2 linked regions of the Nothobranchius furzeri genome follow. The protein of the gene in region 1 interacts with the protein of each later gene in a pairwise test. Links are inferred from orthologs where the notes say so. Each region holds a gene or a part of one and is shown in the gene's direction. Other genes may lie near its edges.

The links.
Region 2: the proteins of lmo2 (region 1) and stat1a interact in a two-hybrid assay, tested with the Homo sapiens proteins (2 studies listed by BioGRID and IntAct). The two-hybrid records come from large-scale screens. The link is inferred for Nothobranchius furzeri from reciprocal best matches to the Homo sapiens genes LMO2 and STAT1.

What each region holds. Positions count from the first base shown.
Region 1 is NC_091744.1:61,971,634-61,988,420, forward strand, and holds the start of lmo2 (rhombotin-2), read left to right. Parts: upstream 1-12,801; 5' UTR 12,802-12,947; coding exon 12,948-12,988; intron 12,989-16,593; coding exon 16,594-16,787. Other genes in the region: caprin1b (caprin-1b), read right to left, coding at 1-58, 1,321-1,403, 1,493-1,731, 1,811-1,897, 1,988-2,050, 2,138-2,302. UniProt on the Homo sapiens protein: Acts with TAL1/SCL to regulate red blood cell development. Also acts with LDB1 to maintain erythroid precursors in an immature state.
Region 2 is NC_091743.1:83,716,971-83,733,112, forward strand, and holds the end of stat1a (signal transducer and activator of transcription 1a), read left to right. Parts: intron 1-1,425; coding exon 1,426-1,570; intron 1,571-1,656; coding exon 1,657-1,752; intron 1,753-1,838; coding exon 1,839-1,925; intron 1,926-2,007; coding exon 2,008-2,086; intron 2,087-2,190; coding exon 2,191-2,282; intron 2,283-2,368; coding exon 2,369-2,520; intron 2,521-4,466; coding exon 4,467-4,625; intron 4,626-4,708; coding exon 4,709-4,801; intron 4,802-5,057; coding exon 5,058-5,117; intron 5,118-5,197; coding exon 5,198-5,218; intron 5,219-5,331; coding exon 5,332-5,422; intron 5,423-7,970; coding exon 7,971-8,012; intron 8,013-9,237; coding exon 9,238-9,327; intron 9,328-9,406; coding exon 9,407-9,505; intron 9,506-9,576; coding exon 9,577-9,712; intron 9,713-9,821; coding exon 9,822-9,877; intron 9,878-9,960; coding exon 9,961-10,055; intron 10,056-10,127; coding exon 10,128-10,267; intron 10,268-10,364; coding exon 10,365-10,553; intron 10,554-10,632; coding exon 10,633-10,708; and 6 more. UniProt on the Homo sapiens protein: Signal transducer and transcription activator that mediates cellular responses to interferons (IFNs), cytokine KITLG/SCF and other cytokines and other growth factors.

The sequences.
Region 1 (16,787 bases):
ATCCGGTCAAAGTACCCACTCAGCAGAACCTGGTCCAAAGTCTCTTTCAGTGCCTTGTCTATCAGAGGATTAACAGGGTCAGCACTACTGGAAAGTCAAACCATGAAAGCTAACACCCGACAGGAAACTGACGGGAGGCTCGGTGAGGAAAGGCATCATTTGAAACATCAAACCAAACATAAAATAAATCAGAACTTTGTTGAATCTGTAACCAATCCAAATCCAATCTGTAGAAAGCTGTGAAGGTACAATTTACACTTTGATATGTGATGTTTCATGCAAAGACGTCAACTTCGTAATCACCACCGTGATGCATCACGACTGAGTCAAAAGGTAGGAATGGTTCGCCAGTATCATGGTGTAGCAGTGGAGATCTGACCAGTGGAACCACAGGCAACAGGGCTGCTGGCCCGCTGCTGAGTCAGCATAAGCCTGCAGCTCTCAACTCTTAAGCTAAAGCAGCAGAAAGCCAGAGGCCAAACTACTGCAAGGCCTGATTCTCACATCATGGTGATGAAGCACTAACAAAACACTTGTTTTTTTTACTTTAACACATTAAGACATGTCATTTGCTCTAGGAACTACTTGACAAAAAAAAAAGATTGCTTTTGTCACGTCTCGCTACCTCATTCAGAAATATCTGACATATTAGCCTGAATGTGATAAAAAGCTTGGTGACAGTGGCCGTGCCATCACCAGCCATCTGATGAACTGCCCTGCCAACTATGTGAACCACCAGCTGGCCGTTCAAATCCAGCCTTCTGGAATAATTACAGTTTTAGATAAAACCATTGTTGCCAGATTGAACCAGCAGTGTTACAGGAACTGAAAATAAACTGCCTCCTCCCTCGTCTGCTTGATTTCACAGAAAATATAGCAAATACTTTCTATTACTTTCTATAACTAATATTGGTTCATATTTGGTTTGCCATTACCCAAAGCTGTAACTTGTCAGTGTTTGACTGTGCAAAGCTAAAGCTTATATTGTTACATATAATTTTTTTTACTCTTTAGGATGAAGAAAAAGGAAATATTTTACTAAATATAAATACAGAAAATAAAACTTCTATTTGCCTAATTGATTCGTGCTGTTTCCTAAAAGGCAGATGCAGTCATAATCTATCAGCAGCCATTTGCCCTGGCACATGTAACAACTGACTGGCCCAGTCTGATGGATGACGGGCACTGAGCCTATGTGAGCAAGATAAGAAAAAATGAAAGCATTCTGCAAATGATGAGTGAGCCACACACTGAATACTGTTTACCTGAAAAACAAGACAATCCGATGAAGCTGATTTCTACATTTTGAAACAGACTTACATGTTGTACCAACCACAGGTTTGTCCTTCCCTTCCAGCAGGTCCCAAAGGTGCACAGATGCTTCTTCATACTGGTCAATCAATCTGCAAGAGCCAAATGAGCAGTCAGAACTCCTTTGCTTAGTATAAAAAAGGCCCATAACATGCTGCATCTCCAGTTAGTCCTGACTAACCTCACGTTCTGATCCCGCTCTGGTCCCACCAACTTGTAGAACTCATCAAAAGCTACGAGGTCTGCATCTGTCAGCAGCGGTGTGCCACCGACTCCCTGCTTCAGGTCCTGCCGTACAGCGTCTTCACCAAGCCGGTCCAGGATAAACTGCAACTCCAGAACAGTCTTAAGCCTCTTCTGCTCTGACTCTTCTCGTTGCAGCTGCTCCCGCCTTGCAAACTTCTTCCCTACTTTCTGCATCTGAACATAATGTATAATTAGTCAAATTGGAAAAGAGTTGGGATGGATGCAGCTCAGAATACAAAAACATCATCCTTACATCCTGCCCCAAAGTAATAAATGTCTTATGAAGCTCTCGGGCAAATTCCAGGTTGTTCATGACTTCCTGGTATTTGGAGAGGGCCTCCTAAAAAGAAAAAGGAGAAATAACAGCTAGTTAACATGTTATAAATCAACATTAGTCTTCAACAAATGATAAACCTTTTGTGTAACCCACCAGCTGGTCCTGGTTCAGACCCTCTCCTTTATTCTTCCTGACTTTATAATCATCCAGTTTGCTCTTTAATAAAACATAAAAACTTAGTGAGTTTTACATTTTCACACTTGTGACTGAAAGCTTGAACCAAAGACTTTAAAACATCCTCACCTTTTTCTTCTCCATGTTGCGGACTTTCTTGTCAATGACACACAGCACTTGCTTGAGGACTTCTGACTGTCCACCAAGTCCAAAACCGCCCATTGACCCGGGAGCGGATCCCACTTCTGGACTGGCAGATTGCACTGTCATATTTGCATTCATCGCTGAGGGCATCTTAAAAAAGAAAGTGAAAATAAGTCATTTGGTATCCATGACAACAGATCTTATTAATATTATAGGCATGGCTTAATATCTAAGAGTACAATATACAGAATTACAAAAGGCCATGATCACATTTTACATTTATGTCAGCCACGGGTTTAAAAACCAACCAGATGCCTCTTAGAACTGTAGTCTCCATAAAAAAATGTGCTACCCGTTTCATTTTCGCCTGAATAGTCATCAATGTAAAAGTCTCTTTAAATTTAGGGGAATGTGTTTTATGTTTTTACTTCAACATCAATCAGTAATAAGGCAAAATTGTTTTAAAAAAATCACAGGTTTAAAGGCAAATTGTTATCAACTGGGCGTTCGAAAAAGTACTTTGGTGGCAAAAGCAGCATTACTCATACAGCTACGAATACTGGTTATTTTACTGTTAATTAAATCTAAATAAACATTAACACTTGAGTGTGTAGTTTCCCAACACAAGCGTGACAATCACCCAATATCCGTAGCTACCGTTTAAAGTTTAATCTCATGTCGTATAGAAATAATAATTTTGATTGGAAGGAGTCATAAAGATGTAACTAACGATAACGCATGATTGTATCCCTCTACGGTGTAGTCAGTTCACGGCATTTTCTTAGTAAACTAGCCATGGCCGCTCCGCCGTTAGCAGAGTTAGCATCGCGGCGCACTGTTAGCTTGTTCGTCTGATAGCAATAACTGAAGCGTGCTGACCACCAACCGGCCCGGAGCCTCGTTTTCTCGACATTCCGACTTCTTATTCACCCACCTTGCTGATATATATCCACTGGGGAACTTGTTAACTTAATTTACAAAAAGAAAGGCCAAGTTGTAATTGTTGTTGTGTTGCTTTATTTTCTCTTTTACTCTAGTGTGGGATCCGCCCGGCCGGCCTCACCGACAACTGAGACAGTTCGAAAGGCTGAGAAACTCTTTATAAAGGCGGAGGTTCGTTGTTAGCTGTTTCAAATGCGCCGGATTAAAAACGTGAAACAGATAATCGTTTAAAAAGATCATTTTACTACTAAGATATTTACATTCAATTAACAGACAAATATAAAACTTATTTACCAAGACAAGTTATTTAATTGGATGTAAACCTTTAACGGCTTACATTTGTGATCAGGCAAACGTGTCTACGACCTCGTCCCAAAAAATCTGCACAAGCATTAGCTTTGATTAGGATGTTTTGTGTACATTATTTTACAGCAGTACTTTCTTCAAACGCTGCATAGGTCATGAAACCATCGCATGAAACAAGTCAGAATGGCAACACAAGACTATTTTTATATAAAATACATTTAATGAGTTTAAATATCTAAGTCTGAGGTGATTGTCAGTAGGATTATTAAAATTTGTGGATTTATTGTAAATTGACTTGTAGTGAAAACACCACCACCACCACCACTACCACCATCACCAACAACAACAACAACATAATACTACTACTACTACTACTACTAATAATAATAATAATAATAATAATAATATGGAGCAATGTTTGGGAAAAACAGAAAAACCACAATGAGACAGCACAATGGATCAAAGAAGAAGCAGGAAGATTGAAGAGACGACCAGTACAGGAGTGGACAAACATCAGCAAGACAGAAGTAATACTGGCACTAAAGAAAGCAAATAATTGGAAGTCACCTGGAGAAGACAAAGTACATAACTTCTGGCTTAAACATCTTGAAGTCATACATGAAGATCTTGCAAGAGAATACACAGAAATTATTAAAACACCAATAAAGAGCCCAACCTGGCTAACACAGGGTCTAACATATCTGCTACCCAAGACCAATGACACAAAAAACCCTAAGAATTACAGACCAATCAAATGCTTACCAACGATGTACAAGATTCTCACAAGTATTATCACAGAGAGAACATACACCTTCCTCGACAACAACAACATGCTACCACCAGAACAAAAAGGCTGTAAGAGAGGTAGTTATGGAAGCAAAGACCAACTCCTGATCAACAAGATGGTACTGGAAGACAGCAAGGGAAAGAAGAAAAACCTGAGTACAGCATGGATAGACTACAGGAAAGCCTTCGACAGAGTACCACACTCATGGATCATCAAAGTAATGGAACTTCATAGAATCTCACCAACTCTCATTACCTTCATGAAGACAAGTATGGAATCATGGAGGACCACTATGATGCTCACTTATGACAAAAGATCCATCAAGACAAGACCAATAAAAGTGAGGTGTGGTATCTTTCAAGGAGACTCACTATTACCTCTCCTTTTCTGTCTATGTCTAGCCCCACTCAGCACCATGCTAAACAACAGTGAACATGGCTATGAGGTTCAAGGCAAGAAGATCAACCACCTTTTTCACATGGATGATCTGAAGACCTATGCCAAAAATGATAACCAACAAGAGGGACTACTGCAAATAGTCAAGCTCTTCAGTGATGACATCTGCATGCAATTTGGACTTGACAAATGTGCAAAGGCTACATTCAAAAAAGGAAAACTCACATCAACATCAAACATACAATTGGACCAAGAGACTGTCATAATGGAGCTCAATCAAGAGGATACATACAAATATCTTGGGGTTAATGAAGGAGATGGAATACAACATGCTACCATGAAAGAAAAAGTAAAAAAATAGTACTACAGAAGAGTTAGACTTGTTATCAAGAGTGAACTCAATGCTGCAAATAAGATCAAAGCCATCAACATTTTAGCTGTTCCAACGGTTACATACAGTTTTAATATCATCAACTGGCAACTTAAAGAAGTAAAGAAACTAGACACCAAGACCAGAAAATTGCTGACTTCTGAAAGAATGCACCACCCAAAAGCGGATGTTGAAAGAATGTATCTACCAAGACAGATTGGAGGCAGAGGACTTGCACAACTTGAGATGGCTTACAAAACAACAACAATGGCATTGAAAACCTACCTTGAAACAACAGACGATGCCCTACTGATCCTCGTTTGTCAACATGAAGCTCGAAAGAAGCTGTACTCTGTTACAAAAGAAGCTATAAGATATGCACAGGAACTAAACATCCCAGAGGTGGCAAGAATAGAGAAAGAAACAGTGACAAGCTTTGCCAAGAGGACCAGAAGGGAGGCAAAGAAATGGGCACAAAAAAGGATGAGAGAAACATGGGAGGAAAAACCAATGCATGGACAATACCCCTTGAGAGTAAAAAAAGCTGATGTAGAACAAGATCATACTCATCAGTGGCTACGCAGTGCAGGACTGAAGGCAGAAACTGAAGGATTGTTGATAGCAGCACAAGACCAGAGCCTGTCAACAAGATCATATCACCACAAGATCATTAAAGATGGAACAGACCCCATGTGTAGAATGTGCAGCCAATATGAAGAAACCATTGACCACATTGTCTCAGGCTGCCCCACTCTAGCCAGAACTGAGTACATCCACAGACACGACAGGGCAGCAAGCTACAGGTGCTGGCCAGTAAATTAGAATATCATCAAAAGGTTGAAAATATTTCAGTAATTCCATTCAAAACGTGAAACTTGTACATTATATTCATGCAATGCACACAGACCAATGTATTTCCAATGTTCATTACATTTAAATTTGATATTCATAAGTGACAACTAATGAAAACTCCAAATTTGGTATCTCAAAAAATTAGAATATTCTGAAAAGGCTGAATATAGAAGACACCTGCTGCCACTCTAATCAGCTGATTTACTCAAAACACCTGCAAAGGCCTTTAAAAGGTCCCTCAGTCTTGTTTTGAAGGCCCCACAATCATGGGGAAGACTTCTGACTTAACAGCTGTCCAAAAGACAATCATTGACACCTTGCACAAGGAGGGCAAGACACAAAAGGTGATTGCTAAAGAAGCTGGCTGTTCGCAGAGCTCTGTGTCCAAGCACATTAACAGACAGGCGAAGGGACGGAAAAAATGTGGTAGAAAAAAGTGTACAAGCTCTAGGGATAACCGCACCCTGCAGAGAATTGTGACGACAAACCCATTCAAAAATGTGGGGGAGATCCACAAAGAGTGGACTGCAGCTGGAGTCAGCGCTTCAAGAACCACCACGAGGAGACTCATGAAAGACATGGGATTCAGGTGTCGCATTCCGTGTGTCAAGCCACTCTTGAACAAGAAACAGCGCAAGAAGCGTCTCGCCTGGGCCAAGGACAAAAAGGACTGGACTGATGCTGAGTGGTCCAAAGTTATGTTTTCTGATGAAAGCAAGTTCTGCATTTCCTTTGGAAATCAAGGACCCAGAGTCTGGAGGAAGAGCGGAGAAGCACAGAATCCACGTTGCATGACGTCCAGTGTAAAGTTTCCACCGTCAGTGATGGTGTGGGGTGCCATGTCATCTGCCGGTGTTGGCCCACTCTGTTTCCTGAGTTCCAGGGTCAATGCAGCCGTCTACCAGGAGGTTTTAGAGCACTTCATGCTTCCTGCTGCTGACCAACTTTATGGGGATGCAGACTTCACCTTTCAACAGGACTTGGCACCTGCACACAGTGCCAAAACCACCAGCACCTGGTTCAAGGACCATGGTATCCCTGTCCTTGATTGGCCAGCAAACTCGCCTGACCTTAACCCCATAGAAAATCTATGGGGTATTGTGAAGCGGAGGATGCAATACGCTAGACCCAACAATGCAGAGGAGCTGAAGACGACTATCAGAGCAACCTGGGCTCTCATAACACCTGAGCAGTGCCACAGACTGATCGAGTCCATGCCACGCCGCATTACTGCAGTTATTGAGGCAAAAGGAGCCCCGACTAAGTATTGAGTGCTATACATGCACATTCTTTTCATGTTCATTCTTTTCAGTTGGCCAACATTAGAGAAACAAACATTTTTTCATTGGCCTTTAGAATATTCTAATTTTCTGAGATACCAGATTTGATGTTTTCATTGGTTGTCACCTATAAATATCAAAATTAAACGTAATAAACATCGGAAATACATTGGTCTGTGTGCATTGCATGAATATAATGTACAAGTTTCACGTTTTGAATGGAATTACTGAAATATTTTCAACCTTTTGATGATATTCTAATTTACTGGCCAGCACCTGTATATCCACTGGAAGATTTGCAAACATTTCCATCTACCAGCTGCAGATAAGTGGTATGAACACCAACCACCAACAGTGACTGAAAACAACAACATCGCAGTGTTGTGGGACATGCCAATCAACACAGACAGAGAAATCATGGCCAACAGACCAGACATAGTCATCAAAAACAAAGAAGAGAAGACCTGCCTCATGATTGATATGACCATCCCATCTGAAAAAAATGTCACCACCAAGGAGCTTGAAAAGCTATCAAAGTACAAGGACCTGGAAATAGAAGTCACAAGAATGTGGGGGATGAAGACAACAACAATACCCGTCGTAGTGGGTGCACTTGGCCTCATCAAGAAGGGACTGGAAAAGAGAACAAAACAGATTCCTGGAAACCCAACAGTCCAAGAAATCCAGAAGATTGTTCTTCTCGGAAGTGCCCACATCATCAGAAGGACGCTTTCCATAAACTAACCCTGAAACTGCCTTAGAAGCATGGATTGATTCTGGCACTTCAGTGAAAGCATACAAATATACAAAAAAATATATATAATAATAATAATAATAATAATAATAATAATAATAATAATAATAATAATAATAATAATAATAATAATATTCATTCAGATATAATTACGTTATTTCTGCAAATACATTTTTTTCATTTCCACACTGTTAAAAAACTCAACGCGCTACTAAATCAATCTTCAGGAGCTCAGGGCTGCAAAGTGAACCTGTCATTATACTAGTAAAAAAAGTGCTGAGTAAAACTAAATGTAAACTTTATAGATGTATTTGAAATATTCGTGGTTAAGTGTGAAAACATTGATATGATGCTGAAACATTCATTTAAGCTGTATTAAATTGTTTTAGGAATTTAAGGGTTTTTAAAACCCTTTAAATGCTAATTTATTTATCCCTACCCACACAGTTAGTTAAATAGACACAAGGTAAAAAGTGTAACATGTGTAGTATTGGGGTAATTTGAGAAGTTTGTATGTCCAGGATTCATAAGTTTCCAGTTTGTAACAGGATCAGATGGGTTTTACTTTTTACTGCCACATGTGCGAGAATCACAACATTAGGAAATTGCTGCGGTACTTGGTGCAAGAAAAAAATAAATGAAAAACAAAATTAGAATTAAGAAATAAACGCAATGAAATGATAATAAGGTAGGAAATCAATAATTAGAAAAGCAGCTACTTTACAAGTCAGTGTAGATACTGGTCAGAGCAGGTCAGTTCAGGTGCAAACCTGGTGCAAACACTGACTGGTCATGTGACTGAAACAAAGCTGCTGGAGTGGGCAGGTCTACGATTGTCATTCATGAGTCCCGGAAGGGAAGAAACAGATTTGCGGCGAGAGGTTCTGGTCCGAATGGATTGTAACCTCCTACCAGATGGGAGCAAGTCGAAGAGACCACCTCAATGTCCTGGAGGTGTACAAGTGCTGCATGGAGAGGAGTTTTCGTTTGCAGCCACTGACCTTCTCAGCAGAGCGCAAAACATGCTGCAGCCTTTTCATGTCACTGATGGTGGCTCCTAGCCTAGTGAACTAGACCAAATTCTTGCTTTGCAAAGTTTGTTTAAATAATACATTTATTTAGTCTGGCTTGCCAGGCTAGGTGGCTTCATCAGTGACATGAAAAGTGACATATATATATATATATATATATATATATATATATATATATATATATATATATATATAATGGTTTGCTACTTAATCCAGTAGGTGGCAGTAAAGACTCACAATAACATAAACAGAAAGAGACCATGACCTGCAGTGCAAACATCATAGATCATAGTGCCAATTAATAATAAAATTCATGTTATAAATAAATAAAAATAAATACATGTTATAATAATAATTATAATTATAATTATTATAATAATAATTATTATTATAAAGCCATTGATACTGAATGTTGTGTATTATTAATTTGCAAACATCCCAGGAATATCAGGAAGGTTTGAGTCAATCTTACTTAGTTCAAATTTTATTTTAACAACAGTGTAGGTCTGGCTGCTCATTTGAAAGCGTGTGCAATCTGCTCTCCTTTGTTTTGCTAAACGCAGGAAGCCACTTACATGGTCATGCAGCTATTTGATTGCACTATCCCACTGCAAGTGTTTTCTTTTAACCCTCTCAGGCTCAAAATAAGTTTTGATAAAAGGATGAACAACTAAGTCCTTCAGGGGTACTTCTGAGTTACAAAATGCTCATGAAATACGTATGTGGAGTAACCAGGTAGGTAGGTTTTAACGTTGCAAATCTGCAACGCCTGCCTCCAGTGGGTTAAGGATAATACTGATTATGGGAGGATCCCAAGGCCAAGAGAAGCTCTGCTTTAGCGAGCGACTCATTTCCTGCAGGCTGCTGCATTTCACTCCAGCAACAATTGAGCAGATTCCAGGCTGGGTCCTCGTCTGACCTCTGACCTTCACTACCAGCCTTTTGAGGTTCAGACTAAGATTAAACACAGGCTTTTGGGGAACAAGTGAACATTTTTCAAACTTTTGGCATTCAGGATTGCGTGTGACACAGCAACACTTTTAGATGGACAGGAAGTGGTTGGGGATAATGATTCAGAGAAACAGAAAGTCAACATGAAGCTAAATTATTGCAAGTTAGCCTCTAAAAAGTTAATAACATGTCTCCAATCCTTAAATCATTTTAGAAGATTCTTTTTAACTGGGCTTTGATTATTATTACATTTAAAATTCATAAAGCCGATAACCTTAATAATTGAGTTATTCTGTTTGCTCAGCGATGGCGATTATAGCTTCCCTCAGATTTCACATTGCTCTTGACCCCGTAATGCTGTCAGTACGAAACAAAACAGGAAGCTAGACAAGAGTGGCACTTTTTCCTATAGAGCTGGTCACATTTTTAACTATTTGCTTTCCCACCAGAACTCAAGCCCTTATTCATGGAGTGTGAAAAGCCTTTCATCAAGGTGTAAAAGTTAACATATTGTAAGGTTCACATCCTTTCTGGTGGTGTTTAAGCTTTTACACACAGAACAGAATCTCATCAATAAAATACATCAAGCTGAAGTTTTGCACTCATGCTATATGAGCGATGTCGTGCCTATCTCACAGCAGCATCTGGACTCAGCCCGTCTATCTGTGATGTACCATCATGCATGATGGGGTTAGGAAGTGTGCAACCCTACACCCCTTAAAATAATAAAAACATAATTTCTGCATGTCAGCTGCACATCCTCTCAGCTTTTAGAAGTCATCTCCACAGGAAGCTGATCACTTGTGTCATGTTAACTGTCTCTTCTTCCTCCTTTCTGCTGTCAGCTTATTTTAGTTATTCCCTGCAGCATATGGGTTAAGATGTGACAGTTTTCTGTTTTAGGGCTCTGCTTTGCAAAGACAGCAGATAAAACTGTATTGTTTTTTCCTCTAAGGGATTTGCAGTTTGAGTTTTATCCCTGCAAAGCTGTTCTGGTTTCTGTGTATAGCTGGCACGCTGCAGAGCCAGCCTCCTCACCTTGCTCCTGGGCCTTTTCAGCTCGGTGTGTGTCCAGTGAGTCCAACAGCTCAGGGAAGCATTTAACCTACATCTACACTGTAAAAAAAGACAGCCTCAAAAAGTTATTTCAATTACTTTTTCCTATTTCACCTAAGTCTCCCTGTTAAGTTTTAATTGTTAAACTCAATTTTGTGTGTTTTAATATTGAAAACTTAAAATTGCTTGTTGTTCAACAAATGCTTATATTTTCCTCATTCTCATGCGTTCAGTCAACTTAAAACTGCAATTTAGAGATTTAAAAAGAGCAACGTGTTCCTGTGGTGTCCGTGAGGGCGCACGGGGTTGGTTAGGGTCCCTCCTACGTCCGTCACTGCGGTGGGTGGGGTTTGAACGGGTGCGCTTTACCGACTTCCGGGGAGGTTTGTTACCAGAAGGCAAGACGAACGGTTCTCTACAGGGACTTGGCTCTCATCGTTCACTTTGAAAACCCGTTCAAAACATTCAATTAGTTTGTGAACGTCACATAACTACTGCTTCACCGATTGCCTGTATTGGCATGACAGCTGCCGTTTTGATAACACAAGTTCAAACAATTAATCCATTTGTTCAGTTAATAAAAACTTTTAATTTAAATGGACAACCATACATGTCTAACTCAAGTTTATAAGTTAACATAATGTAGAATTGTGTGTATGTTTAACAAGACAAAATGATTTTTCCACTTTGTAATCTAATAAGATTTGTTGTTTCGACTCATAATATAATATTCAAACAAAGTTATTATTTATGATATTTGTAAAACTTGACATATAGAGTTGAAAGTTTTCATTTAAGTTGACATGACTCAAGTTTTTAAGGCAGCTGTTGAACTTTCGTTTTTAAGTTATTCTGTCCTACAATTTATTACAGTGTACAGTTTGCTTCTGATCTTCATGCACTGTTTCTGACTGCTGGAACTAAAGCGCTTTATCTGTCCTCACAGTCCAACTGATGTGTGTGTCCCTCCCTCTTTTACCCTGCAGCTCTGGCACTAGATAAGACATGTCCACTGGCGCTTTGGTTTGAAAAGGAAAGTGTGCCAAAAACGACAAGAAATACATTTTATTATAGGGGTAAAAGATTAGTATATATATTTTTTTAATAAATCATATTTTTCATTCTAGAACGTTCTATAGTCATTCTAGACTCGTTAAGCTTTGCTGGCAAATTTCTGAAGAGAAAAATGTAAAAATCAGAACTTTAAATTTCACACATTATCTTTGAAGGGTAATGTTCCTCTTCACAGCGTCTGCGTAAATGTACGAGGTGTGCACATTATTTAAATTTGAACATTACATTTCCTTATTTAAAGCAGAAATTCAGCACATCTGTTTAATGTTGAGGAATGTGGCACAAAAATGCAGCACAAGCTCAATTTGAGATGATTCTAAATTTTCTTTATTCATTTATTTGCAAAACAGCAGGCCACATATTCTAGAACAAAACATAAGAATATATTTTTATTTGCCTTTGACATGAACAGTTTAGATGTTTTACTTGCATTAATTACAGACAAAGCAAAGGAAGACATGATGGGCAGATAAAACTACCAGCAGGTGTTTTTATCAGCTCAGCTCCTGCAGCAGATGGACTCATTAGTCAGTCACGACCATCACGACCCTCTGCACGACTCACAGACCAGCAGCTCTGCTGTCGCTTTAAGACCCGTTTCCCCTCATTGTGAAGCGCTGAAACAGGAAGAGAGAAGCGAAAGCAAAGCCCGAAGGGCCCCAATGTATTTAAACGCGCTGCTGCTGCAGCTGCTGGCCACTCGGACACGCACTACTTCCTCCCCGCAGAACCCTCCTTATCGAACCGCACTGGCGCGGTTCTTCTAGTCGCTGTGGGACCTGCAAGGCATGGAAGTGTTGCTGCCTCAGGAAATGATGACAGCGTCCTCCTCCATCGGCGTCTAGCTGATTAGAGAGGGAGCTGTTCTTGTTCTGCATCTGTTGGAAACAAGGGAGCTGCTTCTTGAGTTCGCTTTTTATTTCCAGCGATCTGAAAGTGGTTTTTACCAGGGGTGCAGGTGCAGCGCGCCTTCCAGTATCCAGATCAGGCTCGAGAATGACTTCTACCATAGAGAGGAAAACACTGGAAGCAAACGAGTAAGTCAACTAAAATAAACACATTCTATCAGAAAACTATCCCACGTGCAAGACGATGAGATCAGATGTTTCTGCTTATAATATTCATAAAGAAAATTTAAGGAAAAATTAAAGAAACGGATGTAAGGTAAAACTAAACTAAACTACATGTTTAGAGTCAGATGTTGCAGCCATAATGGGAACAGGAGTTGTAACATAAGTGTATTAAGGCACACTGTAAAGGCGTTGGACCAAGGTTGAAACTCGCTTTACACTGGGAATGCTGGCCAGAGCATTACTTAAAGCCCCTCAGAATATAAAGAAGATGAGTCATAATTGTAGTTGTGCGCCTGGCTTCTTTATTATAGCCCATAGGTTAGGACAAGTAAATCAGGATAGCAGTTGATAGACATGATAGCTCATGGGTGTGGTTTTCCTGCAGAATGACAAATATGACGTATGTATAACTTAACCTTATTAAACAATTAACACACATCAGAATATTAACCTTCCGCCACCACATCATCAGTTAATAACCATACTAAACAGTCAGAGGTCACTAAATCATCATCATCTGCTCACATAAAGCCACTATATTAAGGTTTGTCAAGTTAACCTTGACGTCGTCGGTCAACTTCCGGTCTGTAAACAAAAGAGTGCTTTTATTTTCCCGACTGGGTACTTCCGGTGGCGGGTTAGCTTAGCTCAGATACTCTGAACCAACTCCCATTCCCGCACTGTAACAACACCGCTGTACTTCTCTACATTCCCGTATACTCATACAAAGCACATTCATGCCTCCTCGTACGACACCAGCAGACCAGCGCCGATCGGTCCCGAGGGAAGGTATATCAACAGCGTTTTCACAGGGACAGGAAATGCATAATAATTAACTCGATAGCCATAATCAGTCCAACATTGCACTTACTGTTCATCCACGCACACACTCGACCATGTCCCGGTGCTATCCCCCAGGCAGCAACATATCGCAGAGAGGAACCCGGGACACAAACTAGAGCTACGTAAACCTCGAGAGATATGAACCTAAAGCCATTTTATCTCTATCTCTAGCTGGACTTCTGGAGCAGACTTCCGGCCAACTACAAAATAAGCGTAACAAAGGGAATGTTTTCCCAAAATGCAAGACTTTGAGGGCTTTTCTACAATAAGCCAAGATCAAAAATCCATTCATTTTTGTCTGCTTATCTTGGGTCAGGTCATGGGGGGTAGCAGCCCAACTAGAAAGTCCCAGACTTCCCTTTCTCCTGCCATTTGGGCCAGCTCTTCATGAGGAAGCCCAAGGTGTTTCCTGGCCAGACGAGAAACATAGTCCCTCCAGCGTGTCTTGGGTCTTCCTGTCTTGTAGTTGGATTTACCCAGAAAGCCTCACCAGGGAGGTGTCCAGGAGGCATCCTAACTAGATGCCTGAGCCACATCAACTGGATCCTCTTGATGTAGAGAAGCAGCGGATCTACTCCAAGCCCCTCCTGGATGACCGAGCTGCTCACCCCATCTCTAAAGACACCCTGCAGAGAAAACTAAATTCGGCTGCATGTATTCACAATCTCATACCCAGAGCTAGTGACCATAGGTGAGGGTTGGAACATAGATTGACCGGTAAATTGAGACGCTCAGCTTCCGGCTCAGCTCTCTCTTCACCACAACAGACCAGTACAACGCCCACGTCACAGCAGACGCAGCACCAGTCCACCTATTGATCTTGTCCTCCATCTTTCCCTCACTCATGAACAAGACCCTGAGACATGTAAACTCCTCCACTTTAAGCAGGACCTTGTCCCTGACCTGGAGAAGGCATTTACCTTTTTCCGGCTGAAGATCAACTGTTAAAAGATAGAAAAGAAATATTAAATATTACTTGCATATTTTAAAATAAATGTTTCAAAAGTTCTGGAAAAACATCTTCGTTGTTTGATCCGATCAAGTGTTTCAAGAATCCTTTTCACATTTTTAGTAGTAGCAACATATTATTTTTCATTTTTTTAAAGAAAATTCCTAAACAATATTCCTGATAGGTGTGTATGAGTCATATCTTACATCCTTTACTAACTCAGGACCAGTGGTGCTGCAAGATTGTCATGGGGTTCCAAGCAAACACTGCAGACTGGAAAGTGTGCTGCAGTTTATTTGAGCGTGGGAGTGGGGGGTGCACAGACAGAAATGTGTGGCAGAGCAGTGAGGGGGAGGAGGAGTGCCCTGTTGGGTAGTGTGAGACAGCCCAAGTTATGTCAAATTACAGCTTTTCACAGTCCCATAGAGCTCCGGGAGTTGACGTCACATCTCCCGGCATGCAACAGTTCAAATCGAAACGGCGCCATATTGGCATGCAGAAGCCGGCAGCTGGACTATTTGTTATTGTCAGAAAATTCAATCAAACGGGAAATATGGTAGATTCCTGTTGTGCCCCAGGATGCAGAACAGACGCGGACGACATAAGGAATGAGTCATCTACAGGATTCCCCAAGTTCCGGAGCGCCGCAAACGTTGGATCATTGTAATAAAACACGTTAGTGACCGGGATAAAATGAAGCTGTGGGATCCCGAGAGTAAAGGTTTTCGCTTATGCAGCGACCGCTTCATATCAGGTACTTAAACAACGTGTCCTCAACTGTGTATGGTATTTATTTTAAATGCTTTTATTACGATTCTTAGTGGGCTTCCTAAACTTATTTTGGCGTGGCTTTTTCTGTCTTATTACTCATAGCAACAAGTGAACATCACGTAAAACGTTGCCTCGTGAGTTCTGCGTGCTGCCGTTTACGTGTTTTATGATCACAGCAGTTAACCGGCTAAGCTGTATTTAATTTTTAAGCAGTGGTTGATCAATTGTCAGATCACACATAAAAAGCACTTTGGATTGCTATTATCTGTCTCACCGAGACTACTTGCGTGTGAATCTGTTATTTGTCCGTCCATCCATCCATTTTCATCCGCGTATCCGGAGTCGGGTTGCGGGGGCAGTAGCGTGACTTCCCTCTCCCCAGCTGCCGGAGCCAGCTCCTCCGGGTAAATCCCAAGGGGTTCCCCGGTCAGGTCTGGTGTTGTGCCGGTAACAAGCCTGCTCCGACAGCTTCTGGCGTCGGAGCGGGCAGTAGAGTTGAGAGTCCCAGACCTCTCCCCAGCTCCTCCGGCCGGGTAAATCCCAAGGGGTTCCCTGGTCAGGTCCGGTGTTGTGCCGATAAGAAGTCCGCTCCGACAGCTTCTGGCATTTTTAAAAAGTATCCCAGGGGCACGGTAAGGGTCGGAGATGTTTAGTCTATTTAATTTCTGACTATATAAAACGATTTCTTCTGTTTTTAAGTGTGACGTAAACTCAGACGAAGTAAAATCCAAGCGGATCCCGTTCATGTTCATGGTTACATCCGTGTTTGTTTACCTTTTTTGCATGCCAAAATGGCGTCCACTAACTGAGAGTCACGTGGGGTCCGGAGCTCTATTGCTGTTGTAGTTCAGACTTCAGTGTTTTTCAGCCCTCTTGGGCCCCCTTGTGGCCTGGGGGCTCCAAGCAATTGCCTGCCCTTCCTGTCGACAAGCAGCGCCTCTACTCAGGACAGTTGCTGCTGTCGCAGGCAGATATTAAATGTTTGGGTTGTGTTTTTGTTGTACAGGGAGCCTGTTGACGAGGTCCTCCAGATGCCACCAGCCCTGCTGACCTGTGGTGGGTGTCAGCAGAGCATTGGTGACAGATTCTTCCTAAAGGCAATCGAGCAGTACTGGCATGAGGACTGCCTGAGCTGTGATCTGTGTGGCTGCCGGCTGGGTGAGGTGGGCCGTCGGCTCTACTACAAACTGGGTAGAAAGC
Region 2 (16,142 bases), on another chromosome or scaffold:
GGATTGGAGGGTTAAACCACCAAATTGTTCCCGAGCGCGGCTGTGTCTGCAGCTCACCGCTCCCCCAGGGGATGGGTCAAATGCGGAGAACAAATTTCGCACACACATCAGTGTGTGTGACAACTAATGGGACTTTAACTTTAACTTTATTTTGTCCTGATTGTGCCCTGAGCAATTTTATGACTGAATAAAAACAAATAAAATCAACATAAATAGAAAAATCGTCTTAAATAATCGAGATCTCAATTTCAGTCACAATAATCGTGATTATTATTTTTGCCATAATCGAGCAGCTCTACTTCAGTGCATCTTAGTTCAAATTTAAATATTCTGCCTAAAACTGGCAGTGTTGTGCCGTTGTCAGGTAAAAACTCTGCACTGTATTTTAATTTAAATCTGCCACCGCTATTGGCTAAGAAGTATGCTATGATGTAAACTGGTACATTATGATGTCACAATGCTGTCGTGAGCCTGAGTGTGTGTGTATTTGTTAGCGGCTCCGCCCTCTCGGTCTGCCAGGCAACAGCATTTGTTGCATTTTTCAAACATGAAGTGGGAGTGGAGTTAGACTCTGGTAGGGGTTGACTTGCTCTTTAAGCTGTTTAACTTGGACCAAGCATTTTAGGTCACAGATAGGTGTAGCTTAGGGTCTCTGCCTATACACCTTGTAAGACAATTTAGGTGATGGCATGTTGTTTTTCTGCTATTGAACTGTTTTCTAATAATGTTGTGTTTAATAAAGTGAAGGAAGGAGAGAAATAACGTTTCCCTAGCAGTTTTTAAAATTGTCCCTATGTAATCCGATTAATCGTGTCGAGACCCCATCCGATTCATCGATTATCCAAATAATCGTTTGTTGCAGCCCTAAAGCGTAAGTCAGTGTTTCCCCTAGAATTGTTGCCAGTCATGTCGCCTGGGTTCTGCTCGCAAAATGCTACAATGCTGCGTCTCCTGTGGGGGGTGTCTCGTAGATGTGGTGCTAGAATTTCAGCCGTGGTGCAGCTCCACTCCTGCGCCTATGCAGGAGAAACTGTAAGTTCAGTGGAGACCATGTCTTTGCTTTAACTGCTCCTGAATTATGGAACCACCTTCCCTTGGACATCAGGCAGTCCTCAACCCCATCTTGTTTAACCCTAACCCTACAAAAGGCATTAGCTTTAAATTGTTTTTCTTTTTTTTTTTATTAAACTTTTCATTTTTATCTTGACTGATTGCATAATTATTTTTCCTTACTTGTAGGTCTTTTTGCTGTAACTATTTTTATTACGTAGCCTGTTTTATTATTTTTCTACACATCACTTTGGTGCTGTAGGTGTTTAAAATGTTTTATAAATAAAGCTTTTATGAACGGTGCCCTTCAACATCTGGCGTAACCGTGGTGGGACCTCTGTAAGATAACTCCGTTGTTGTTTTGGATCTTCTTAGGGATACGGTGGCATCACAGGACTCCCTGGCAACTGTTCGGTTTCACGAGCTCCTGGCTCAGCTGGATGATCAGCACAGCCGCTTTGCTCTGGAGAACAACTTCCTGCAGCAGCACAACTTCCGTAAGATCAAGAGGAACCTGCAGGTCAGAGCCCCACGTTCTCTACTCGTGTCAGAGTGAGTTAAAACTAAGAAAGTGACTGCGTAAACATGGAGCACTTGTTTCTCCAGGATCGGTTTCAGGAGGACGCCCTCCATATGGCCATGATCATCTCCAGAAACTTGAAAGAGGAGCAGAAGATCTTGGCCAATGCAAAGGATTCTGTGGTAAGACCTGCAGCTAGACTCTGCTTTAATCCATCTAGATTTTATTTAAAGATGCTTTAATCATGAATTTGACAATGCTTCTGCAGCAGGAGAAGGAGGGGACGGTTTCAGCCATGGTGGTGGAGAAGCAGAAGCTGGACAACAAAGTGAAGGAGATGAGAAACATTGTTCAGGTGAAACAAACACGTTTCAGCCACATTTAAATAATCTCTGCTGTTCCTTTACCACAGCTAAAGGAGAGTTTCCTTTGTTCAGATTATCGACCAGAACCTGAAGAATCTGGAGGACCAGCAGGATGAATACGATTTCCAATTCAACACGCTGAAGAACAGAGGTAGGAAAGTGCAGATGACCCAGAAGAACAAGGAAACTTAGACTGAAGTGGCTTGTTCTGATGTTTGAGTGAAGCTGATGTCTGGTTATGTCCATCACCTGCAGAGAACGACGTGAACGGCATGACGCCAAAGGAGCTGGAGGCAGAGAAGTTAGTCATCATGAAGATGTGCCTTGAACTGAAAGCCAAACGCCACGTGAGATTCTTAATCCACAGTTTTATGATAGTAGAAAGCTGAGTCCAAACCTTCTAAAACTCCGTGCCTTCTTGCACGTGTCCCAGGATGCTGTGGTGTACCTGAATGAACTGCTGAATGTCATCCAGGGGTTGATAACCGACCTGATCTCCGAGGAGCTGCCAGAGTGGAAGCAGCGGCAGCAGATAGCGTGCATTGGCGGTCCGCCCAATGCTTGCGTGGACCAGCTGCAGAACTGGTGAGACCGTTGTTGTCCCAGAAGCTTCAGATAAACTTTATTTTCTTCTGTTGAGTTACCAAGAAATCTGAGACATCAGGAGAAGGCATCAAGCTGGAGTTCACATCTGACAGACATCTGGATCTAGAAGTATCAGAATAATACACAAGGTTGGAGATTATGGTAGTTTTTGGATCTAATGGAACCTGAATTTTCCCCCAAATCCCTAAAATTAGTGGTAATATCAATCCAAGTCAATTAAGATGAAGGGTTTAAATGAAGGTGACCAGACCAGACCAGAGGGGCTTGGTGTGGTCCTGATTCAGGGTCTTAAAAAGTCTTAAAAGTCTTAAATCGATTTAGTAAAGTCTTAAATTTGGGTCGTATGACGTGATTTTAAAATACGTTCGTCTCATACTTGCAAACTTGACGCTTTTCAGCGAAAATTGCCGCTTATGAAAAAAAATGCGTTCACATGAATCAAAGAGTTTTTGTTTTAGGGAAGGCGAGTCTGGTCGGATTTTAGTCGCTCTTTATAAGAATCAGTTTCAGAAAAATGAGGAGTGTTCATCCTCTTCACAAACCATCTTTGTTAGTGGGTCACGAGTTGCCATTTGACCAATCACAGTCACAGAGACAGCTAGGGGAAAAACGCTGCGGTAGCCGATATCACGGCGCCGCCACTACTGTCGCCTCAACATCTGGCAGCGGTTGGAACTTAAAAGTTCGTAAAATCATCAAAATCCCCTCCAGATACGTCAGTTTTCTGTCCAGAACATTAGCAGGTTTGTCTCCTTTCAGTTTCAGCCTTAACTGATGTCTCCCGAGGCTTGTGTTCTTTTTTTTTGGAGGGGGCGGGAAGTTGAGTTCAATCAAGTGTTGGTCAAAAACAGCTTTCCCAGTAATTAGACAGGTTCATCCTTACCTAAAGAAGATTCTGGCAGACAAGCTGCTGCGGTTGTTGTTTCAGGTGCATGCAGGCTAAACCCTATAGGCACGTCTTCCCTACATGTTTTATAAGAGATTTGAAATCAAGAAGAAGAAAAACTTGCAAAACAGTATGGATCTGTTCTCAGTGAGATGTTATTAGTGGAAAATAAACATAAATACGTCTAAAGACGTTACTGGTACTTTTACTGTCATTCTGTTGTGGAAAGTCAGCACAAATATTCAGTGAAAACTTTAAAAAGCTGCTTAAACCTTCATTATGTTACAGTGGGCCTGTCTATATTTATAAAATCAGTTGATTGTTTAAAGTAACTGTAACTAAAGTTACTCAGAGCCACAGTAGAAGGTCCAGCCTAAGTTACGCCGGGGACACACCGGCCGCCGAAGCGCCGGGAGGCGAAGTGCTCACGTAATTCGGTCGCTGCTCCTCAGTTCCGACCAGACGCTTGTTTCTCCGCTCCGGTCGAGGCGCGCCTCGTAGTTTTTCTTTTAATCACTTGGTGTCCTCCATTTCCTCTCCGCCTTTTCTCTTTTCCTCTACACCCCCCTCCCCCTTGCTGTTTGTGTGTGTGTGTGTGTGTGTGAACCTATGGTGTGAACCAGTTGTTAATAGCTGGCCTACGACTTTCTTCCTCTCTGTCCTGTTTGATGACTGTTTGATGCTTGAGGTCCACGTGGCAGGGGTGAGGTGGTGCTCACTCCTCACCCCTGCCACGTGGACCTCAAGGGATAAACCATCAATCCTGCTCATTGGCCAACTTTCCTCGCGGGGTCACCCATAAAGACAGAGGGAGGGTTATAGGCTACATTTAATAAAAAAAAAAAAAATACTCAAAGCTCTCGAATGTGTTCAGTTTTTGTTTTATGTTGCGGCCTTATGAGCTGGGTCGTAACAGTCATTGCTCCTCATTAATCTGATCAGTTTTATTCACATTGAAACTGATGAGATGTTAAACATGCTGGAGAGCAGGAAGTGATCAGGCTTGGAGGAGCTTCAACTCTCAAACACCCTGCTGCAGGTTCACAGCAGTCGCTGAGAGTCTCCAGCAGGTGCGTCAACACCTGAAGAAGATGCATGAGTTGGAGCAAAATTTCACGTATGAGAACGACCCCATCCCTCAGAAGAAAGTGTTTCTGGAGAGCCGAGCTCTGGAGCTCCTCAAGACCCTCCTCTCCAGGTAGGAAACCTCAAATAAATCGGTTAGCAATCTCGCTGTTGTCTGTATTCAATATTGATGAGTGTGTGTGTGTGTGTGTGTAGCTCACTGGTCATAGAGAGACAGCCCTGCATGCCCACCCACCCACAGAGACCCATGGTGCTGAAAACAGGCGTCCAGTTCACCGTGAAACTCCGGTAGGAAACTAAACCAAACCATGAAAACAGAATCATACAGAATTTCAGCTGAGAAACAAATATTTACACGAGTCAAGCCAGAGAAGGGCCTCTTTAACACGTGCCCATCAGAACTCATGTCTTAAAGCTAACTGGAGTTGCTGCAGAGAGCGAACGCTGACTGAGCTGCTCTTTTCCCGTTAGTTTCAAAAGCAGAAAGGTTTGACCTTAATAAACGTGCATTTCTGAGATTAGTTTCCTGTTTTTCCCCCTTCAGGTTTCTGGTGAAGCTTCAAGAGTTTAACTACCAACTCAAAGTCAAAGCTCTTTTTGATAAGTAAGATCATCTCCTGTTTCCACACGTTCCACATTTTCAGACCCATACATTTCTAAATATGGATGTTTTCTTCCCCTTAGGGATGTCGCAGACAAAAAAGGGTAAGTGTCTAACGTTTTGACTTGTTTATAAGAAATCTATCCAACTAAGTTTTTTTTTTTTTTATTCTTGAGAAGTTAAATGTATCCCTGAGTGATTATGTGTCTAAAACCAGGTTTCGGAGGTTCAACATTTTGGGCACAAACACTAAAGTGATGAACACAGAGGAGTCCAACGGCAGCCTGGCTGCAGAGTTCCGACATCTAGTGAGTTTATCGTAAAACTCGGTTTAAAATCATCGTTTTCCTCCTAAAACAAACAAAAATTATGCAGTGTTGCAATAAATAAATCTGATAACATCTCAGAAATGTCACCTGGTGTCATTTCTAAACCTGTCAGGCTCTGTTAATATCACTTTTAATTTATTAAAGTCACAGTTTAAATATAAAAACTAGTAAAAACACTAAATATGAAAACAAATATGGATTTAAAATAACAAAACTGTTTTAGAATGCATAAATTCTTAAATATTTACTTACAGTCCTTATTCTGCTCTCCCTACTTATTCCACCTTCCTCATGATCCCCTGATTTCCCTCTTTCCCTCTCTCCTATTCACTCCCTCTCTTTCTTTACACTTTTTATCACAATTGTCTATTTTTGCTCATTGTAAACATAGTTTTAGTCATTTTCTAAATTATTTTTTATATTTTAAATTTTTAGTTTATGTGAAGCACCTCGTGATTTTTATCTTAAAGGGACTATAAGGAAGTTTGACAGCCAAAACATGTATAGAAATAATAAATGTCTTCATCATACATTCTCCTGCAATGCCCTGGTCCTGTAGAATGAGGCCTGGCATTTTTACTGTGATTGCCTGTTTTTCTGTAAAACCACAGAAAAAGAGAGATGCTCGGGTCGAGCAGGCTGCTTCATGCGCGTTCACGCTCAGGCATCGCCTGTAGCATTTGCTATCCGTAGCTTTAGCAGCGGAGAGAGAGGTAGTAGACTTTGTCGCTGTTCCTAACACCTAGTGACAAAGCTAGCTACATTTCTGAGGACCCTTAGCTACTTCCTGTAGAACTTTCTTCTAGATATTTCCTGCAAATTAGCAACAAAATAGCCATTTTCGCTCCGAACCCTCAGCTGTCATCAAGGATATAAATGTTACAGATAGAGTGAATGTTACTAGAGTGTAGCTCACCTAGTAAGACGTCAGACTCTCGTGCAGAAGACCCGGGTTCAATTCTGTATGTGATTATAGTATATTTAGAATTTCTTTTTTACATTAATGGTATATTTTTTTTACAGTAAGATGCCCAAATTTTTATTTGAGATTCGCCGAACGGCATTGAACTCACAGATAAAAAAAGATGTGGGTTCAACTTTCATTTTGGAACAATTTTTCAAGCAAGGGAAGGGAATGATCTGAGCATGCAGGAGGACTGACCCATCATAACCCTTTGTCGGCTGTGCTGAAGAGAAAGGTACAGAACCAAATTATTTAATTAATTAGCTGCCTCTGTCCTCCGGGCCACACACACACACACACACACACACACACACACGGGACTGTCTCAGCTGTTATTTTCGTTAAGGAGTGTGCACGTACAGCATGCACGCCTCATGCACGAGCCTACTATTGAAGCTGCCGTTACGCTTTTGGCCTGAGGGGGCAGTCGCGAGCATAAAAATTCAAAAGTCCATAAAGTCCCTTTAAGAGGCACTATAGAAAAGATTTCTTCTTCTTCTTCTTCTTCTTCGTCTTCTTATGTCTTAAAACTAACAATAATTACCAAATTATGCCAGCAGGTGGCAGAATAGTTCAATCCCCCGAGATAGAGTGTTTGGTGGGCCTGTCAGCGCTGTATAGGTTTAGTGGGCCAATCACAGCGCTCTATAGGTTTAGTGGGGGAGATAATGCGATGGAGCGAAACTACTGAGATAGCGGCAGCTTATTTGAAACGGCTTTGGCATCTGTAGCGGTGAGTATATCACTGTGTTTGTTGTCCAATAGCATGCAGAGGTAGTTTGAAAGACACCCGAACTGTATATCCACGCCCCACGACTGAGCTCTGTCTATAGGTTATGGCCATACTATATGCTCACTTATATAGGATGGCTTGCCGAGCTACTTCTGTTATACTTTGGATTACTCTTCATGAGTCAGACCCGGGGCTGTGAAACCCAGCGTGCTGTGTACATGCCAGGTAGACAAATTCCTAATTAGCAGCTTGTAGACGCAAGACTAAACTCTGCTGTTTGCTGCAATTACAAGTCCGATTTAGATTTACCATTTTGAAAAAAAATGTAAATATTTTTAAGGCGGCAGCAGGTGATAAACAATACATTTTGAAACAATATTTAAAATAACTTGGAAAATGTGTCCTTTTCTCAAATATCGAATTTGATGGTAAGTGTGTTTGATGTATTTTGTATTTTAATGAAAAATACATAAAGTAGCCTGAAATGCATCGCTACAGGCTAAACGCTCTCAAAGTGAATTGATGAGGCACCCCAAAACATTTACTGGCCCCCCCTATGGAAATGTTCTGGGCGCGCCACTGCTTCTGTTCAGTGTTCTGGTGCATTTTCAATTTTTGATTGAGGAGCACTTGAGGATTGTGACAACCCTGATGTAGACGTCTGGTTTTATGAGCCAAAGGTTTCAGGTGGAAGAGACTACGTCTGTGATGGGATTGGGATAGTCCCGATGAGCTGAAAATTCCTTGTTTGTTATGTTTTGCCTCTCAGCCTTTTGGGTGAGACTAAAGATGTAGAGTTGCTTATTTGACCTGTTTTTGTCTCCATTCAGCAACTGAAAGAGCAGAAAACCGCCGGCAACAGGACAAACGAGGTATGAGGCTTCAAACTCCTCTTTATTTCAGTTCCAGAGGTCATTTATTACAGGAACAGCTTACATGTCACAAATTCTTCCGGCTCTTGGAGGGTGCAGATGCTTTTCTCCTCCTCTCCTCCATAACTTATCCTCAAGGCCCTTTGTCTGTCTCTGCGTGCTGGGTGTACGGCTGATCTGCATTTTCTCTGGAAACTGGAAACTGAAATTCACTCAAATGGATCTCGTCAGTTGGTCACTCAACGCGATTGATAAAATCTTTTCAACGATGAGAACGGGAGAAGGGGCTCCCAGATGCCCCTCCATGACAGACCAGCTGTCTGTGGAGGACTCTGAAGATGTGTGGATATTCGTGGTGTTGGTGTCGGGGTTCCTGCTGATCAGCATTGGAGGCTACCTGGCTTACCGGAAAATTAATGAGCTGTAGAGGAATATTGGCTTGATCCCGGGGCTCAGAGATGGATTGCACCACGCTGTGAATTCACAGACTCACATAATTGTCTAGATGAATCGTAAGCTTGGGACTTTGGCCGAGATTCATTCATTGGCACAAAGATGGATGCTGTCAAGGATAGAGTGGACGAATCAGCACGGATTGGGATAGATTAATGCCCATTATTGGGATTTTGAGAGGTTGAGGACCAACAAACTGTAAGACAGAGAGGAAATTATCTCTGTCTGGCCCCAAAACAATTTCTAATAGGAATCTGGCGTCCTTGAGTCAGCAAGGCTCCAATGAAAACTCCCCCCTCAGAAGATATGTGGAATGTGCCGTCGCTCTGGCAACTCAACTCTGTCTTTCCCTCCACCTGAACCAATCCTGATGTAACCCTCTTTTCTCTATTAAGGTAGCACGACTCAGGTTGCAAATGACCACAGTCACCAATTCTTGTCATGTGTCTATGCCCATGTATGTCTGATCTCTGAGTTGTGTGTACTGAAACTCTTAATTTCCCTCTGGGATTAATAAAGTATCTTTGATTTCATGTTTATTATATATGTATGTAAATGTCAGCTTTAATGACAACACAGATGTACAAAATAAAAACTTTTATTTTTATTTTTGCATCACAAACTGATTTGATCTGGAGAGTCAAAACATTTCTCCAACAAACGTCTACGTCTCGTCGTCGTCCAGCTGCTGAAGTGAAGCAGATTTAGTTCTTCGGGTTTGAGATTAATCCCTCCCTCGTCCCTGTCTGGACCTTTGTGTGTTTCTGTTCAGGCGCCTCTGATCGTCACAGAGGAACTCCACTCGCTCAGCTTTGAGTCCGACCTGCATTTGCACCATTCTGGACTCACCATCCTGCTGGAGGTGAGACGAGACACGAACACAACTTCTGCAGACCAAACTCCAGCGAGCGTGTGTGTTGAGGTGTGTGTTTGTGTGTCAGGCCGTGTCTCTGCCCGTCGTGGTCATCTCCAATGTGTGCCAGCTACCCAGCGGCTGGGCCTCCATCCTCTGGTACAACATGCTCACCACAGAACCCAAAGTGAGACCCGGTTCTTCTACCACCGTCAGCCCTGTGTCGCTCTGCTGTTAACAGAACCATCTGTCCTCCAGAACCTGAAGTTCTTCCTCAACCCTCCAGCGGCGAAGTGGTCTCAGCTGTCCGAGGTTCTAAGCTGGCAGTTCTCGTCCGTCACCAAGCGAGGACTGAACCAGGAGCAGCTCAACATGCTGGCTGACAAACTCCTCGGTCAGACACACAAACAGATCCTGGATCAGCCTGTCTGATCTGGTTCTGCTCTCTTCTTTTACCCTGGGTTTGAGTCTTTATATCTGAACGTTTTCGTGTTTCTGTTCAGGAGCCAAAGCTCAGAGGAATCCAGAAGGACTCATCCCCTGGACAAAATTCTGTAAGGTGAGCCCGAGTCGCCCTGCAGCACCTGCTGTCATCCTGTGCTGCTGGAGCAGAACCTGAAGTTCTTGTCGTTTGCTCGGCAGCAAGGAGCCAACGAGAAGACGTTTCCCTTCTGGCTGTGGATCGAAGGAATCCTGGACCTGATCAAACGCCACCTGCTGTCCCTGTGGAACGACGGGTGAGTTGCCGTGATGACGCAGCGCTTCCTCGAGGACGGAATCCAACTGATGGGTGTGTTTGTTGTGTGCAGCTGCATCATGGGCTTCATCAGTAAAGAGAGGGAGAAGGCTCTGCTGAGCGATAAGTGTCCTGGGACTTTCCTGCTCAGGTTCAGTGAGAGCAGCAAGGAGGGAGCGATCACCTTCACCTGGATCGAGCATGACGTCCACGGTAACATCTCCTATGGGGGCCACAATACCTGTCACCTCCGATGAGCTCAAACTTCCTGTTCCTAAAACAATCTACTTCCTGTTTCTCCTCCCCCCAGACAAGCCGGTTTACCACTCTGTAGAGCCGTACACAAAGAAGGAGTTGACAGCCGTGTCTTTGCCGGACATCATCCGCACCTACAAGGTGATGGCAGCCGAGAACATCCCAGAAAACCCTCTGCGCTTCCTCTACCCCAACATTCCCAAAGACAAGGCTTTTGGGAAATACTACCCCAAACCGTCAGAGAGTAAGCCTCACAGCTGCTGCTGAGTTTCATTCAGCTCCAGAATAAAACACATCCTGATCACAGTTTCATCGCCTTCCAGCTCAGGAGCCCATGGACGTGGAGAACACGGATAAAAGCGGCTACATGAAAACGGAGCTCATATCCGTCTCAGAAGTGTAAGCCTTCACTAAACAGACCTGTTTAATGTTGGAATAACCCGAGGTTCTGACTGGTTCTGCTCTGGTCCAGACACCCTTCCAGGCTGCAGGACAACATGATGCCCATGTCTCCTGATGACTTCAAGGCAATAGAGCACCTCGTTGGTCCTCGAGACCTGGATGCCGTGGTGAGTTCCTGCTCCAGCTCTCGGATTAAACAGATTAAAAAAAAAAAAAAAACAAAGATCTCCTGATGTAACAAGTTTTATATGGGGAGAAAAGTCTCTAAAGATCTGTGTGTGTGTGTGTGTGTGTGTGTGTACGAATTGTGTCATCGATTCGTTGTGTCGCACAACTCTTCCAAACCCTGCCCGCCGTTGCGCGCAGACTGGAGCAAGTAAGATCAGCGCGAGGGAGAGCCGGCAGGTGTTTGGAAGAGGAACATGGCAGAAGCAGCGAGACCCTTCCCGGACGAGCCCCCACGCTGTTACGTCCCCCAGCCCGCTAGGAGAGATGTTGTTGAGGGAGAAATAAAGTTGGTGTGTGGGTTGAATAATAACGGAGTGCTGTGTCGCTGAACCAAGGATTTTAATTACAGAAAGAAAAGCAAAACAAAGTGACTGTCTTATTACATACAAAACTAAAGGAAATACACGCAAACGGGGAACTAAGAGCACGAGGGGGAATTAATTAACCAAAATACAATCGCTGTAAACTCCAAGCTAACGGAGGGATGTCCTGTTAAGCAGGAACGCTGGGAAAAGTCCACAAACAAGGTCAAATAGCCGTTCCTAGATCGGGGATACCAGAGAGTCAAAATCTAATCCTAATACCAAAGCGAATACCTAAAGCCGAGACTAACCAACACACGCGAGGAGAAGAGAGCAGCAAAAACTCTTCCGAGCCTTCACTACCCTGGACCTTCTCTAAGAACTGTGGGCAGGAGGGCAGCCTTTAACAGCTGCCCATGATTGCCCAATTACACACAGCTGAGACAGGCGAGGCAGAAGCCACCGAGGCCATCTTGTGGCCGAAAAGGGGCAGAGCACGTAACTGTGTGTGTGTGTGTGTGTGTGTGTGTGTGTGTGTGTGTGTGTGTGTGTGTGTGTGTGTGTGTTTGTGTGTGTGTGTGTGTGTGTGTGTGTTATTGTACATACTACATACTGAGGACCATTTTGACCATTTTCCCTACAAAGTGAGGACATTTTTTTGGTCCACTTTTTTAGAAGCATACCAGAAGCTTACTGTACCAATTAGAGGTATAGTGTGAATTAAGTTTTAGTTAAGGTTAAGAATAGATCTGCGTTGGTTATGGTTAGGGTTGGGGTGTGGACTAGGCATGGTGAAATCACAAAAATGAATGGAAGTCAACGGAGGGTCCTCAGGGTGTGTGTAGATGGATGCACCAGACAAGGAAGTGCATCTCTGGCCAGTTTGTGTGTGTGCAATAACGGTGGGGCAGCAGTTTACATGATGTTGTGCGCACACATAAACTGGCCTGTTAGCCGCTTCCTAGTCTGGGGACAGTGTATCAATCTGTCAGACCTTTAAAACCAAATAAACGGTCTAAGATAACAGCGGTCTCGTTATAACCAGACTGCAAAGTGGGCAGGTTTAATTCTTATTGAGGAAAGGTCACCAGGATACTGCGCCATCTTTTCATGCCTTCTTCCAGTTTGAAACCTGCTTTTTATCTAGTGACCATTTCTTATACAACACTTTGACTGCATTTGCATGGCTCATAAACACATATATGTCTAAATAAACATTTTTAGATTATTAAATATTAAATGCTGGTCTATCTGTTATGACTACAGGATCCTGAGATACTCTATTTTTCCACAGAAAAACAAATTTGTCCCGTCAACACAAGTTTAGACTAAATCCAAAGGAAATTCTAATTTCTCAGCTTCCACCAAGCGTTCAAAATCTGTGTGTAATGTAGTTTTGTCTGTGTGTACCAGGTGATGTTTGTGTGTGTGTGTGTGTGTGTGTGTGTGTGTGTGTGTGTGTGTGTGTGTGTGTGTGTGTGTGTGTGTGTGTGTGTGTGTGTGTGTGTGTGTGTGTGTGTGTGTGTGTGTGTGTATTCAATGATTTGTATGCGTAGGAGCTGATGTTACACAAGAAAATGTAAACACAAGTTAAAAATCAAGACTTACACATGCATACATCTTTCTACACAAACACACACACAAATCTTTAGTTACACACACATAAATCTAGATACACACACATCTTTAGTTACGCACACATAAATCTTTTGAGACTTTTTTCTCTCCATAGTTTTAACTCTGAAGATGAATTTAAACATGTGACCTGTTCCTTGCCGCTGACATTGCCACTCCCCCGTCCTTCAGCTGTGAATCTGTGTGTTGTCTGCTCTGCTTTCAGGCCAGCAGTCTGATGCAATATGAAGATTTAATGTCTGAGGTAGATTTGTTGTATTAATCAGCATCCCGCATGCACTGTAGAAGAAAATGTCTCGTCCCCTTTCCTCTGCTCACGGCAGCCCGACTCTGCCGTAAACAGGGGGGGGGGGGGGTGTTCGTGGGAGCGGGGCGACTAGGGTTGGGCATCGTTTGATTTTGAACGATTCCAATTCCAAACAGGTGCACCAGGGCTTTTAGTAACCAGAGTACAACTTACACAGGATTAACTCCTACTAGAGACCACTGTAAATGTATTGGTTAAACAAGTGAACCACACCTTTAAGTGTTTAAATCCACTCAACCACTTCTTGTTGCTCTCAGGACATGAAATCAGTAAGTTAAACTCAGGGAAGCACCAGGTTTAATAAAGTTCAGGTCCAGGATAGCTAGTTCCCTCTAAGGTTTCTTCTAATTGGAAACCGGCAACAGCAGAGCGACAAACACAACTACAAAGGCATTTAACGCCCCCTAGTGGCTGGTAGCAGGATGAGTATTTAGACCTGCCCCTTCTTTATAAATAACTGAGAAACAAATCATAAATTGGCTGAAAACAGCTTTTATTTTTTGTTAATTTCCGCCTAAAGAAACCATGTTTTTATGTATCATGAACAGTTTATGTCAAAGATCAGTTTACCATGGCCATCTCTGCTGGTGTCAGCTGTGACTCCATTGGTGTTCTGGGCCTCGCTGAGGTACTTTAAGGCAGCGGGGGGGATCCTCCAGTCCAGAGCCTGCAGTCGCTCCTGGACAGCGGCGTCCTGCAAGATCTCCATCTGCCTCGCCAGAAGGCGCTCCAGCTGCATCTGATCAGCACAGATTTAGTACACCAGCCTTAATATAAGAATGTGCTAAATAATTAGCTAAATTAGCTTTTATCACAATGTTTCAAGCCAGTGCTTCACCTGTGAGTCTTCTGCCTCTCTGCCACCAACATCTCCACCTGCCCAATTAGCTTCTGTCCCCTGTACATGCAAGCGAATGAACTTTGACAGCTTTGAACTCAATACCACATGCTGAACCAATGTTTTACACATGATCATCACCCTAACATTTGTCACAAAGATCAATGTTATGTCTATCGTATCTTCATTATTTCAACCTCACCTGTGAGCCTCCATCTCCTCCAGGCTCTCGTCCTCCATCTCTTACAGCCTCTCCTGCTGCACCTCCACCAGTCCCTCCTCCTCCTCCATGTCTGTCACCTGAAAAAAGGATGCATGAACTATAAACAGAGGGAAATTTTGGAATGGAACAAACAGAAATATTTACAGGACGGTTCAAGTCTGATTCACAATTATTATTAATATAATGTGTAAGTTATTCATTACCAATATGAGTGTATAAAAACATATTAAATATGTTTTTTCCCTTAAAAGTGTTTAAACAGTTGTTACATTTCAACACAACAAAAAGAAATGGAAAAAATAAGATAAATCTAATGAAAAAGTGTATATTGTTGACATTAAGCTTTAAAAAAATCTCTGTTGACGATGATGATACTGATCATTTTTCAGAGCTTTAAGTTCTAAGACACTTAACAAGAATAGAACAATTATATAATGTGAACATATACATTGCAATAGATAAGTTTACAATAAAGTTAAATGATAAAAGTTTTGAAGTTACACTTTACTACTACTACTAGTAATAATGATAATAATAATGATAATAATAAGAATAACAATAATAATAATAATACAAATAAATAGTGTCTGAGGAGTCAGTTATGTGGAGGAGATGAGTGTAAAAGTTAGTTTTGAGTGTTTGTGAAGGAGGTGAGTGAGCTTAACCCTTTGATGCATAAAGGTCACTACAGTGGACAGGTACTCAAAATTGTTATTTATTTGTTTTAGCTATTAAGCACAGCTGTTGAAGACTTTATTGCATTTGAGCCCCTCCATTTGGACTTCAGTAAGCCAAGCCAACATATTTCATGCTCAGAATGCACGTTGTCCACTGAGATCGACATGTAATAAAATATTTGTAAATTATAAAATTTTACAAAAAATATTTGTTGAAATTTGTTTCATTCACGCCTAAAGACGAGTGAAAAAAATTGTTTAAAAAATCATGGTTGAAGATTTCATAATTCATGCATCAAAGGGTTAATGCAGGGGTGTCACATGTTCCAACTTACGTTTTGACTTTGAAAGAAGTCTCTTATATCCACTTTTCGTTTTCTTGACATGTTGCCGGCTGTGCCTGATTACCAAAAGTCTCACAAGTGAACACTTATTCAAATGTTATGTAATGGAAGCTGAGCTGAGCTCTGATATTTAACATCGTCTAGTTGACGATGTGACTCTTAATACCGGCATGTGGACCCTCGGACTCCTAGCGGCTGCAAATTAGCAAAACAACGTGAGCACGTTCTGACTGTTTACAACTTGGGAGTGACAGCAGCAACAGCCAATAATATGTTAGCAAGTATCAGCAGAGCCAATAGATTAGCTTTTGGTTGGGTCTAATAGGAAACCGGTTTCCGGCTCGGTCCTAGTGCTCAACTAAATCCATTTAATGGAGCGTAATATTGTTTTTGGACGGAAAAAAGTGCAGAGGACCAAAACTACCTTTTGAAAAAAGTGCCTCCCCCCCCCCCCCCCCCCCCCAAATTACATCTCAGACCATAACCAAAGTCTGGCAGAAGCCTCTGGGATGAGAGGCTAAATGTCTCCAACACATCCAGGAACGTCCAGCTGTTTTCAGCTAAAACTCTCAGGATGATCATGTCCAGGATGACTGAGAACTACACCTCCAAGCTGCAGCAGCATTCAGTCAGAACAGGAAGTGAAACTTAAACGCAGCTGCTGTCAGTAACAATCTAACAGATTTTAAACATTAAAACTCAACAGAAATAGTTCAGAAAGGAAATTAAAATGTTCACAACTTTGTGTGTGATTTATTATTATTATTATTATTATTTATTGTGGCAGAAGCTGGTGTGGTCCACCACAGAGAAGCTTTTCTAGCATGATGACTTTTGATTATTCTACAGGTTATTGTTCAGCCATCTGACGCTCACA